Linked DNA regions of Arabidopsis thaliana. The protein of the gene in region 1 interacts with the protein of each later gene in a pairwise test. Each region holds a gene or a part of one and is shown in the gene's direction. Other genes may lie near its edges.

Evidence for each region.
Region 2: the proteins of TRM7 (region 1) and MYB113 interact in a two-hybrid assay, tested with the Arabidopsis thaliana proteins (one large-scale study listed by BioGRID).

The regions. Positions count from the first base shown.
Region 1 is NC_003074.8:21,695,548-21,701,795, reverse strand, and holds TRM7 (GPI-anchored adhesin-like protein), read left to right. Parts: upstream 1-1,797; 5' UTR 1,798-2,354; intron 2,355-2,566; 5' UTR 2,567-2,576; coding exon 2,577-2,685; intron 2,686-2,764; coding exon 2,765-2,823; intron 2,824-2,939; coding exon 2,940-4,508; intron 4,509-4,603; coding exon 4,604-4,727; intron 4,728-4,845; coding exon 4,846-5,447; 3' UTR 5,448-5,724; downstream 5,725-6,248. Other genes in the region: AT3G58660 (Ribosomal protein L1p/L10e family), read right to left, coding at 1-222.
Region 2 is NC_003070.9:24,751,936-24,755,577, forward strand, and holds MYB113 (myb domain protein 113), read left to right. Parts: upstream 1-1,653; 5' UTR 1,654-1,698; coding exon 1,699-1,819; intron 1,820-1,960; coding exon 1,961-2,090; intron 2,091-2,179; coding exon 2,180-2,669; 3' UTR 2,670-2,826; downstream 2,827-3,642. Other genes in the region: AT1G66360 (Calcium-dependent lipid-binding (CaLB domain) family protein), read left to right, coding at 126-221, 355-672. UniProt on the Arabidopsis thaliana protein: Transcription activator, when associated with BHLH002/EGL3/MYC146, BHLH012/MYC1, or BHLH042/TT8.

The DNA.
Region 1 (6,248 bases):
ATTCGTACGGGTCTTCTGTGGAATCTTCTTCAAAGTAACGAAAAGGTAGACGAGCTCGTCTTCTTCGAGAAGTTGAGGCTTCTCTGTCTTTGATTTGTCGCTTCTCCAATTGATAAGACCATTGAGGGCGCTCTCCACTGTCTTGGGACTCACTCTTGAAGTCTGCGAAGCGTGAACAAGTTGCTGCTCCTGCGGCGGCGGCGGCGAAACTGCGGTGGTCATGGGAGGGATTGAGGAAGAGAGAGTACAGAGATTAGGGTTTAAGGAGGAAGGGGACAGAAGAAGGATTTATCACTGATATATTATTTCCCTGGGTTAATGGGCCTACCTTTATTTTGGCCCATAATAGTTTTCTTATAAAGATGGGCCGGACTTTCTTCTAGTGTAACTTTTCTAAAGGTTATTTTCTTATAAAGATTGGCCCATATACGAATTTCGACTATCTCTTCCGGAAAACAGTCTATTTCCTCGACACATCATACTAGATAGAATCTGATTTGTGAGCACGATCTATATGTCCTCGAAGAAATAATTTTATATCTATTTCTTTCCGAAACAAAAGTTCAATATCTAAATCTTCTTGAATTAATAGTTATAGATCTAGAAATCCACGAGATTTGGTTTCAACGATTTTTAAAATAGAAACTGTTTGATTAAAACTATTGAATATCAATCTTTTAAAGTCGATTTTGGAGATAAAAAGAATCAACAGAGAAATAAGTATGTTGGAATTAGGGATCTAGGAAAATTTAAAATTCTCTATTATTCAATAGTTTACAAAAAAATCAATAAAAACTATTGATCTAAAATAATGATTTTTGGAATTAAAAATAAGAAATTAAATACTCAATATATATATATATATATATATATATATATATATATATATGAGTCAACCTTTCAACCATGTTGGTTTGTGTTTTGTCATTGTCTCTTTAACTTTCTCTCTCTGTTTATTAAAATATTTCGGTTTGTAACAGCTAGTAAACTACTGATTAAAAGTTTTGAAATGTTATTAATTTGATTTTATTTTCGGAAGTTTAACTTTGAAAAGTATGAATTCACTATCGGCTCTGCATTGTGAGATTCAAGTCTTCATGCGTGTAAAGCTTCCTAGGGATTTTATCGAATTGTTCAGACATCGTTCTCATATACTCTACTCTCTTTGGTTTCGCTACTTCGAAGCAACTCAAACCACAACAACTTCCTCTACTCATTTATTCTGTTTTTAAAAAAAAAAACTGATTGTGAAATATCAAGAGTCCAAAAAAAATTTGAACTTTTAAGTAATTCGAATCATAGAATGCAGCATATTACAAATATTCAAAACTATACGAAAGTGGAGCCCTTGTGAGACGGACACAAATATGAATTGTGGTAATGCCCAACGAAATAATTTTATAATAATCAAAATGGAATATTAATATATACAGTGATTGCACTGTTTACAATAAAGTCTTTGCCTTTATTTTTCTACACCTGAAAATTGAATCGTTATGACCTCTTTTAAATTATGTGTTTTTTTTGTCCCCTAACCAATTCAAATTCTCTTATGTTTGAAACTGCAAACTGAACTGAAACATGTATAAACATCATCAAGCTATATATTTCCATCTGCATTGGATACCAAATATAAACATCATCAAGCTTGTGACAAAAAAAAAAAAAAAACATCATCAAGCTATATATATTTGTAGATGAGATCATGCTATATGTATAAAAGCCAAAATAGTTGTTGAAACAAAAGATTTTCCTTTTATGTATAGAAAAAAGAAACACTTTTAATAGCTCAAAGGAGGGAGCTTTCAGTTTCCTAAATTCAAAACTCTCTTTGTCTCTGTCTGTCTTTCTCTCTCTCTCTCTCTTTGCAACGGCTCTCTCTGTCGTCATTTCAATTCAAACTCAGCTTCTCTCATTTTTTTAAAAACGTCTCTTGCTGCTTCTTCACTTCTCTTAGCTCACTACCCAAATCCCTAATCTCAAATCTGCTTTGAGCCTTCCTGATCTTACGCATTCCTCCAAAACCCCCCAAATATTTTCTTTGTTTTGTTTGTCTGATTTGATAAATCTCATTTTGTGTTTTTATCTTCTTCCATGGTCGTTGTTCTTGTTCTACAGTGCGATTCGTGAGCTGAGAGAGATAAAAGTGGAGAGCTTTGGTCGATCTTTAGGGCTAGATCTCCCAAAGCCACCATTGTTTCGATTTGGGTCAATCCAATTTGCAAAACATCTCTCAGCTGTGTCTGTCTGGGTTCTCATTTTGCTGAATTCGGTATAGGGTTTCTGCAAATTACACTTAATGGATGGATCCATAAGTAAAAAATGAGATCTTTGGCAGCCTGAGAAACTGAGAGGTAATCAAATTTCATTCCTGATCTAATTTCCTTTAATCTTCTGCTATATCAATCACATTCTCTATATCCTTCAGCTGAAATTGGGTGATTCATTATAATAAAATGGAAAAGTTTTGATCTTTTTTATCTGGGGTCTTGTTGTTTGATGGGATCCAGCGTCTTATAAGTGCATTCCATTGAAATTAAACTGATTCAATTGTTTTGATCCATAGGTAAATTAAGATGGACGTCGTTGAGAGAAAAAGACCAAGAGGAGCGTTTCTAAATCTGTTTGATTGGCATGGAAAATCCAGGAAGAAGCTTTTCTCTTCCAATCTCTCCCAACTCTCTGGTATGTCTTCCAGCTTTTGTTGTATATATAAGTTAAGGTAATGAAGTTTAATAATCTAAAGTTTCTTCTTTTAAAACAGAAGAATCTAAGCAAGCAAAAGAGAATGTTCAAAACCCCTCTATTACGCCGCATTCTGTTGTAAGCCTTTTCTTACTCAACACCATTTTCCTTGTTTGATGCAATGTTTTGTTTTGTGTTAGTTTACTGAATGACATGAACTATTTGTGTTCTTTGGTGTGATCTGTTTACAACAGTTTGAAGTTGATCAGAGTGTAAAGAACCCAACTTACAACCCGAGAAGTGACTCTAGCTGTTGTGCTTCATCTGTTACTAGTGATGATGGAAATGTGGTTAGAGCAAGTGTGGTAGCGAGGCTTATGGGTTTAGAGGGTTTACCACTACCAAACGTTTTGGAACCACGGGTTAATCCTGATCTTGATCCATACTTTCTCAGATCCTCGCGCCAAGCAAACACTTGGGATGCTAATGTTGATCGTCAGAGTGACTTCGATGGTGTTTCTTGGGATCATTTGGATTCAAGAACCAGTAAAGGGCCGCGTAAACGGATGATTGAGCGGTTTCAAACCGAAACTTTACCCCCGAGATCAGCTAAACCGATCTCTGTCACTCACAATAAGCTCTTGTCTCCAATAAGGAATCCTGGATTTGTTCCATCTAGGAACCCTGCTTATGTAATGGAAGCTGCTTCAAGAATGATCGAGCAAAGTCCACGGATGATTGCAAGAACACGGATGGTGTCATCGTCTGATTCTTCTTCTCCAGTTCCATTGAGGATTCGAGATTTGAAAGAGAAACTTGAAGCTGCGCAGAAAGCGTCAACTTCAGTTCCTCAAATCTCTAATGATACTCGGAACAGTAGGTACCTAAGAGGAGATCAAAACGAGAAGAAAACTACAGTATTGGGGAAAAACAGTTATGATGCTTTGAAAGGTGGTGAAGTGAAGCCACCTTCTTTCGCTGCGCAAGCAAAAGTCAGCAGTAATCAGAAGCAAGACAGCTTATCAATGTCTTCAAGTGGCAACAAGAGGATGTCTTCGGGACAAAAGGAGAAAGTGGAAGCTAAGAATAGGGCGGTTAAAAGCCAAAACAGTAGCAAAGGATCTTCCTTGAGTACCGGAAAGAATGTGCTTAGGCAAAACAACCAGAAGCAGAACTGCAGAGACAATCAGCAATCCAGGAGAGTAATGAACAAAGTAGTAAATAAGGTTCTTGTGGAAAGTGGATCTATATCGAAGAGCTCAGGATTTACTATGTCATCAGCAGAAAAACCCACTTCTTTACCTTTATCCCGCAAAAAGAGTCTTCCTCGAAGCAAAAAACCGCGGAATGGAGTGCAAGAATCTGGAATTTATGAAGATAAGCGGATCAAAAGGGGTGAAAAGTCGATAAAATGTAACATTTCCATTGATGGCGACTCGAGTACTAGTAAAGATGATCAGAAAAGGGACATGGATGTGATATCTTTCACTTTCTCATCTTCGATCAAAGGTTTATCATCTCCTCATTCACAAGGAACCAAACAAGATGCAGACTCTGCTATAAGGTTCAATGTGATAGGTGGTGATTCTTTAAATGCGCTTTTGGAGCAGAAGCTCAGGGAATTGACAACGAAGATTGAATCATCTAGCTCTAGCTTGATCCAAGAAGAGCCCTTGAGTTCCATTTCAAAAGATAGAGCGAATGCGATGATTTCATCGCCTTCCAAATATAGCGGATTGACTCAAAGCAGTCTTGATAGAGTTTTAACAGAGAGTGAATCTGTTTCTGACTGCACTTCATTCTTTAACAGCCAGAAAGTCCAGGTTAGTTTCCATAAACTATAGCTTCACTATTCTATAATATCGAATGCTTTTCCGGCTTACCAGTCTCTGAGAAAATCTTGTCTTTTTCCTTTTAGAAGCAGAAGGTAATACAGGGAGAAGAACAAGAAGTTAGCAGCATCACCACTCTTACAGAAGCTGATGATTTTGCACTCTCCTGCAGCAAGAGTATCTCAGATTGCAGACATGACAGAGAATATGGTATGTCTTTGTGAATTTATGTCTAGATTTTCTTCACCAGGATTTGAATTCACACCTAATAGTCTTAGTATTGGTTTGATTTGCAGCTAGATAAGCTTAATGTTGTTGGTTTTTTCAGGCATGAAACAGAGTTCATCAGATCAAGAGCTCACTTGGGGTTCATCCAACGAGTCCCAGCACACCTTAGATGAAACAGAATCAGCAACACTCGATTGGGAGCTCGAGTACATAACCGAGATCCTCAACTCTGGGCAGCTCATGTTTCAAGACTTCGCCTCAGGGACAACCACTAATGAATCATTACTACCCTCCAGCCTCTTTGATGAAATGGAACGCTCTCGAGGAGCTGCAACGTCAATGAAGACAGAAAGAAAGGCGCTTTTCGACTGTGTGAATCAGTGCTTAGCGGTGAAATTTGAAAGGATGTTAATTGGAAGCTGCAAAGGGATGATGATGTCAGGTGGGATTTTGTTGGAACATAGAGATTTGTTGGCTGAAGAAGTGAACAGAGAAGTAAAAGGGTTGAAGAAGATGAGAGAGATGATGATCGACGAGCTTGTGGATCATGACATGAGCTGTTTTGAAGGGAGATGGATTGGTTATGAAAGAGAGATGTTTGAGGAAGGAATAGACATGGAAGGAGAGATTGTTTCTGCTTTGGTTGATGATTTAGTTAGTGATATTTTATCTACTAGTGTTCTTAAACGGTCGTTGTTGTAACTTGTATTGTCTTCGTAAGAAGCTTCTTCTGGTTCTGAAATTGTCTGCATGAACTGAAGTAATGCGAGAATATACGGCTACAGAAGAAGTATAATGTTATTTTAAAAATGTTAGGAGTTGAGTGATATTTTATAGAAAGTCAAAGGTGTCGGTGGCAAAATGACGAGGGCACGAGTTCTTCGGTTTCTCATTTTCGGTTTATAAAATTGTTTTGATGCAATAATTTCCTCATTTACTGCTAAAAAGAATCATTACCAGAGATCAAATTATAGATCGTGTTTAGTTTTTCTTGTTAACAAATGTTAATCCTTAATTACTTTTTTTATATAGATTCTAAAAATATTCTAACCTTTGAAAAATATACCCACTTCGTTTCAAATTAATTGTAACTGTAGACGTTCAAGTTTGCTTCAAATTATTTATGGTTTTGTGTTTTCAATACAATTATTGACAAAAATTTCAATTTGCCCCTTCTTCTTTTAGTTTATTAATTGATAATATCAATGCTAAAACAGAAAAGAATAAATTATTTTAGTTTAGTTAATGCTAAAACAGAAAACATAAATGAATATTTAAAAATAAGCCTGAAAAAAATCTCAAACGACAACTAATTTGAAACCAAGAAAGTCTTTTCTTAATAAATAATAATATAGTGTTTGAAAAGAAATTATCCCAATAAATATCATAATCTTTATTTAACTATTTTAATCATCAAAACGGTTATGTCTATAATTAAACTAAAATGTTAGATATCGAGAAATAGCTTTAAAATATGTAAGGTTTGGTAATAGTTGTGTGTTT
Region 2 (3,642 bases), on another chromosome or scaffold:
ACAAAAAAAAAAGTAGCTAAAAATGAAAAGCATTTTCAACAAGTTTTTGATTTGTTCGTGCATTTCTTATTTGTGTATAATCTATTTATCTTATATGGTTATGTTATGACTCTTTCTGGACGCAGAAGCTACGAACCCGTGTGATGAAAAAGAATTTGAATACAGAATGGAACGAAGACTTGACACTTTCTGTTACTGATCCAACTCTTCCTGTCAAGATCGTAAGTGATTTCGACATTACAACCAAATCAAACACGATACATTAGATTAGACCACAATATGGATTCTTTATATTTGGAAGTTTGAAACAAGACTTAACAAGAAAAATTGGTGTTTTTTTTTTGTTATAAACAGATGGTGTACGATAGGGACAGGTTCTCAAGGGATGATAAGATGGGAGATGCGATTTTTCACATTGATCCGTTCCTTGAAGCCATCAGAATCCAAAACCAACTAGGAGGACTACCTGAGGGGACTGTAATAATGAAGATACAGGCAAGCAGACAAAACTGCTTGTCAGAAGAGAGCAAGATTGTATGGCACAAAGGAAAGATTGTCCAGAACATGTTCCTTAAGCTTCAGAATGTTGAACGAGGGGAGATAGAGCTGCAGCTTGAGTGGATCGATGTCTCCGGCGCCTTGACTGATGATGCGGAGGATGTTGCTTTCTAGATCGACTCTATACTACAAGAAATTCCTGTGATGATACGGCGAAAACAATAACACAAACTGATGTAGTGATTTACTCAATTAATAATCTTAATGCACTAGCGATCTTATCGATGAAGCAATTAAGAGTAGAACCACAAGGACTAATTCACATTAAGAATGCACATAATTACTTAACTTAAGAACTAAATGTTGCATTGATTCAATAAACCGGTTGCAATAATTTATTTAAATATATATTTTAGTTTTAAAAATTAGTTATATAACAATTTATACAGAGTGATGAGGTCGTATATATTAAATATTATAAAAGTTACAATGCTCAGTCAAAATAAACTAAGAATTACATGGGTCTATAAAATAAAATCAAATATTACAATGATTCGTCGAATAACGATTACAACTTTATTTAAATAAATAAATATTTCTAAATTATATAAAAAGTTATACCGAAATACGCAACAGTAGATAATTAAAAGTTTATTAAATAAAAAAAATTACAACGGCTCATAAAACAAAATCAAAAGTTGCAATGATTCGTCCATATAGATCAAATGTTATAACAGTTCAATTAATCTGTTGCAATTTTATTTAAACATATTTTAGTAATCAAAAATAACCAGAAAATGAAAATATATAACTTTAGTTGAACATACATAACTTTTTAACAAAACATTATTATAACTTTTTAACTTTAGTTTCTTTTTTTTGTAATATTTTGAAGAAATGTTGCAATAGAAAGACAACCATGTAGAAGTACAAAACAGATTTATTGACATTGTTATTATTATACGTAATTAAAAAGAACGAAGAGTCTGGCTGCTAAGTGCAGTGAACCATTTCTCTTGTCTAAACAATAGCAAAACAAACTAATTTTTAGCAAATTCAGCATGAATTAAACGTGGATATAAAATATGGCAGTCACTGCACTCTCTATATAAAACCTCCAATAATTTGTGAAGGCTTCACACATGCCATATATATAAATTTTATAAAATTTGTGAGATAATTTTCTATTATCTTTGCTCCATGGGCGAATCACCCAAAGGGTTGAGAAAAGGTACATGGACTACTGAAGAAGATATTCTCTTGAGGCAATGCATTGATAAGTATGGAGAAGGCAAATGGCATCGAGTTCCTTTAAGAACTGGTATTTGTTTCATGCTTTTTAAGGTGGTTCATGAAAATACTATTTATATCGATTGGTGTGCATATATTCTTCATGATAAAGATAAAGGAGGTACAAAAGAAATCTAAGTAGGTATAGTAAATTCGACTTTTGGTTTTATAGGTCTCAATCGGTGCCGAAAGAGTTGTAGACTTAGATGGTTGAATTATTTGAAGCCAAGTATTAAGAGAGGAAAACTCTGCTCCGATGAAGTTGATCTTGTTCTTCGCCTTCATAAACTTCTAGGAAATAGGTATTGTTTTCTCGATAGTCAATACTATTTCTTTAGGGATCGCGGTTCAATACTAGAAACTCTCATGTATATTGTTTCACAATGTTTAGGTGGTCCTTGATCGCTGGTAGATTGCCTGGTCGGACTGCTAATGATGTCAAGAATTACTGGAACACTCATTTGAGTAAGAAGCACGATGAACGATGCTGTAAGACGAAGATGATAAACAAAAACATTACTTCTCATCCTACTTCATCGGCCCAAAAAATCGATGTTTTAAAGCCTCGGCCTCGATCCTTCTCCGATAAAAATAGTTGCAACGATGTCAATATCTTGCCAAAAGTTGACGTTGTTCCTTTACATCTTGGACTCAACAACAATTATGTTTGTGAAAGTAGTATTACATGTAACAAAGATGAGCAAAAAGATAAGCTTATTAATATTAATCTATTGGATGGAGATAATATGTGGTGGGAAAGTTTACTGGAGGCAGATGTGTTGGGTCCAGAAGCTACGGAAACAGCAAAGGGTGTGACCTTACCGCTTGACTTTGAGCAAATTTGGGCTCGGTTTGATGAAGAGACTTTAGAACTGAATTAGTGTTGCTCCCCATTTTTGTTTGCACGTGTGTATTTATGTTTCTGTGGATGTTTTTTATATTGCAATTTTTAAAAATTGTATTATTAAATTCATATCAAAGGTGGCAGCATTTGTTACAATATAACTTAACACGAATTCAAACCCGAGAAGATAACGTCTAATGGTTCATTAGGAGATAATATGAGAGTCGTTTCTACTTATATTGTGTTGTATGAGGTGATGCGATGAGAGTGAAGAAAGGGATGTTTCTACTTATGTTTTTTTTTGCTTTTTATTTACAAATTTATGGTCTTTTCTAAACCAACGTCAGAAAGTTCAATTCTCCAAAAAAACTACATGAATCGTAATTTTTTTTTATCTACAATACTACGTTTTAAATTGACCTAGATAATTAGGATCAGAGTAAGCTGCAATAAACTAAAAGAGAAAAAAGTAAGAAAAAAAAACTAAAAAAAGAAAGAAAGAAAAACAATTCTTCTTCTTCTCCGATGGAGACACACGTTCCTCCAACTCGAACAAATGGATGCATGCCTCAAAGTGGGTCCATTCAATCCGATCTGAAATTAAGCAGACTCAAAATTGGTCCGATTGATCTAAACCGAAATCAATTTTAATTATGATGAGATTTTGTCGAAATTAATAATTAGAAGGGTCATTGATTATTTTAAGGAGACATGTGAGCTATCTCGCACATTAAAATCAAGAAAGAACTTTGAGTGATATCATATGGATCAATATATTTATTATATCAATTGGTTTTGACTTTTCCTCTTAAAAGAAAACAACAACAGTTTTCTAACGCAAATAATGTTGATGTCCTTTGGATCCATGTCGGTTGCATAGTATACACTAAACATGCATTGGAAAAAAACAAAAATTCTTAAAACTTACCATTATCGTTGTTTTTATTAGCTTTGAATGATAAACTACTATCAAAACGATATATTTTTTTTGTATATTTTCGATATTTATC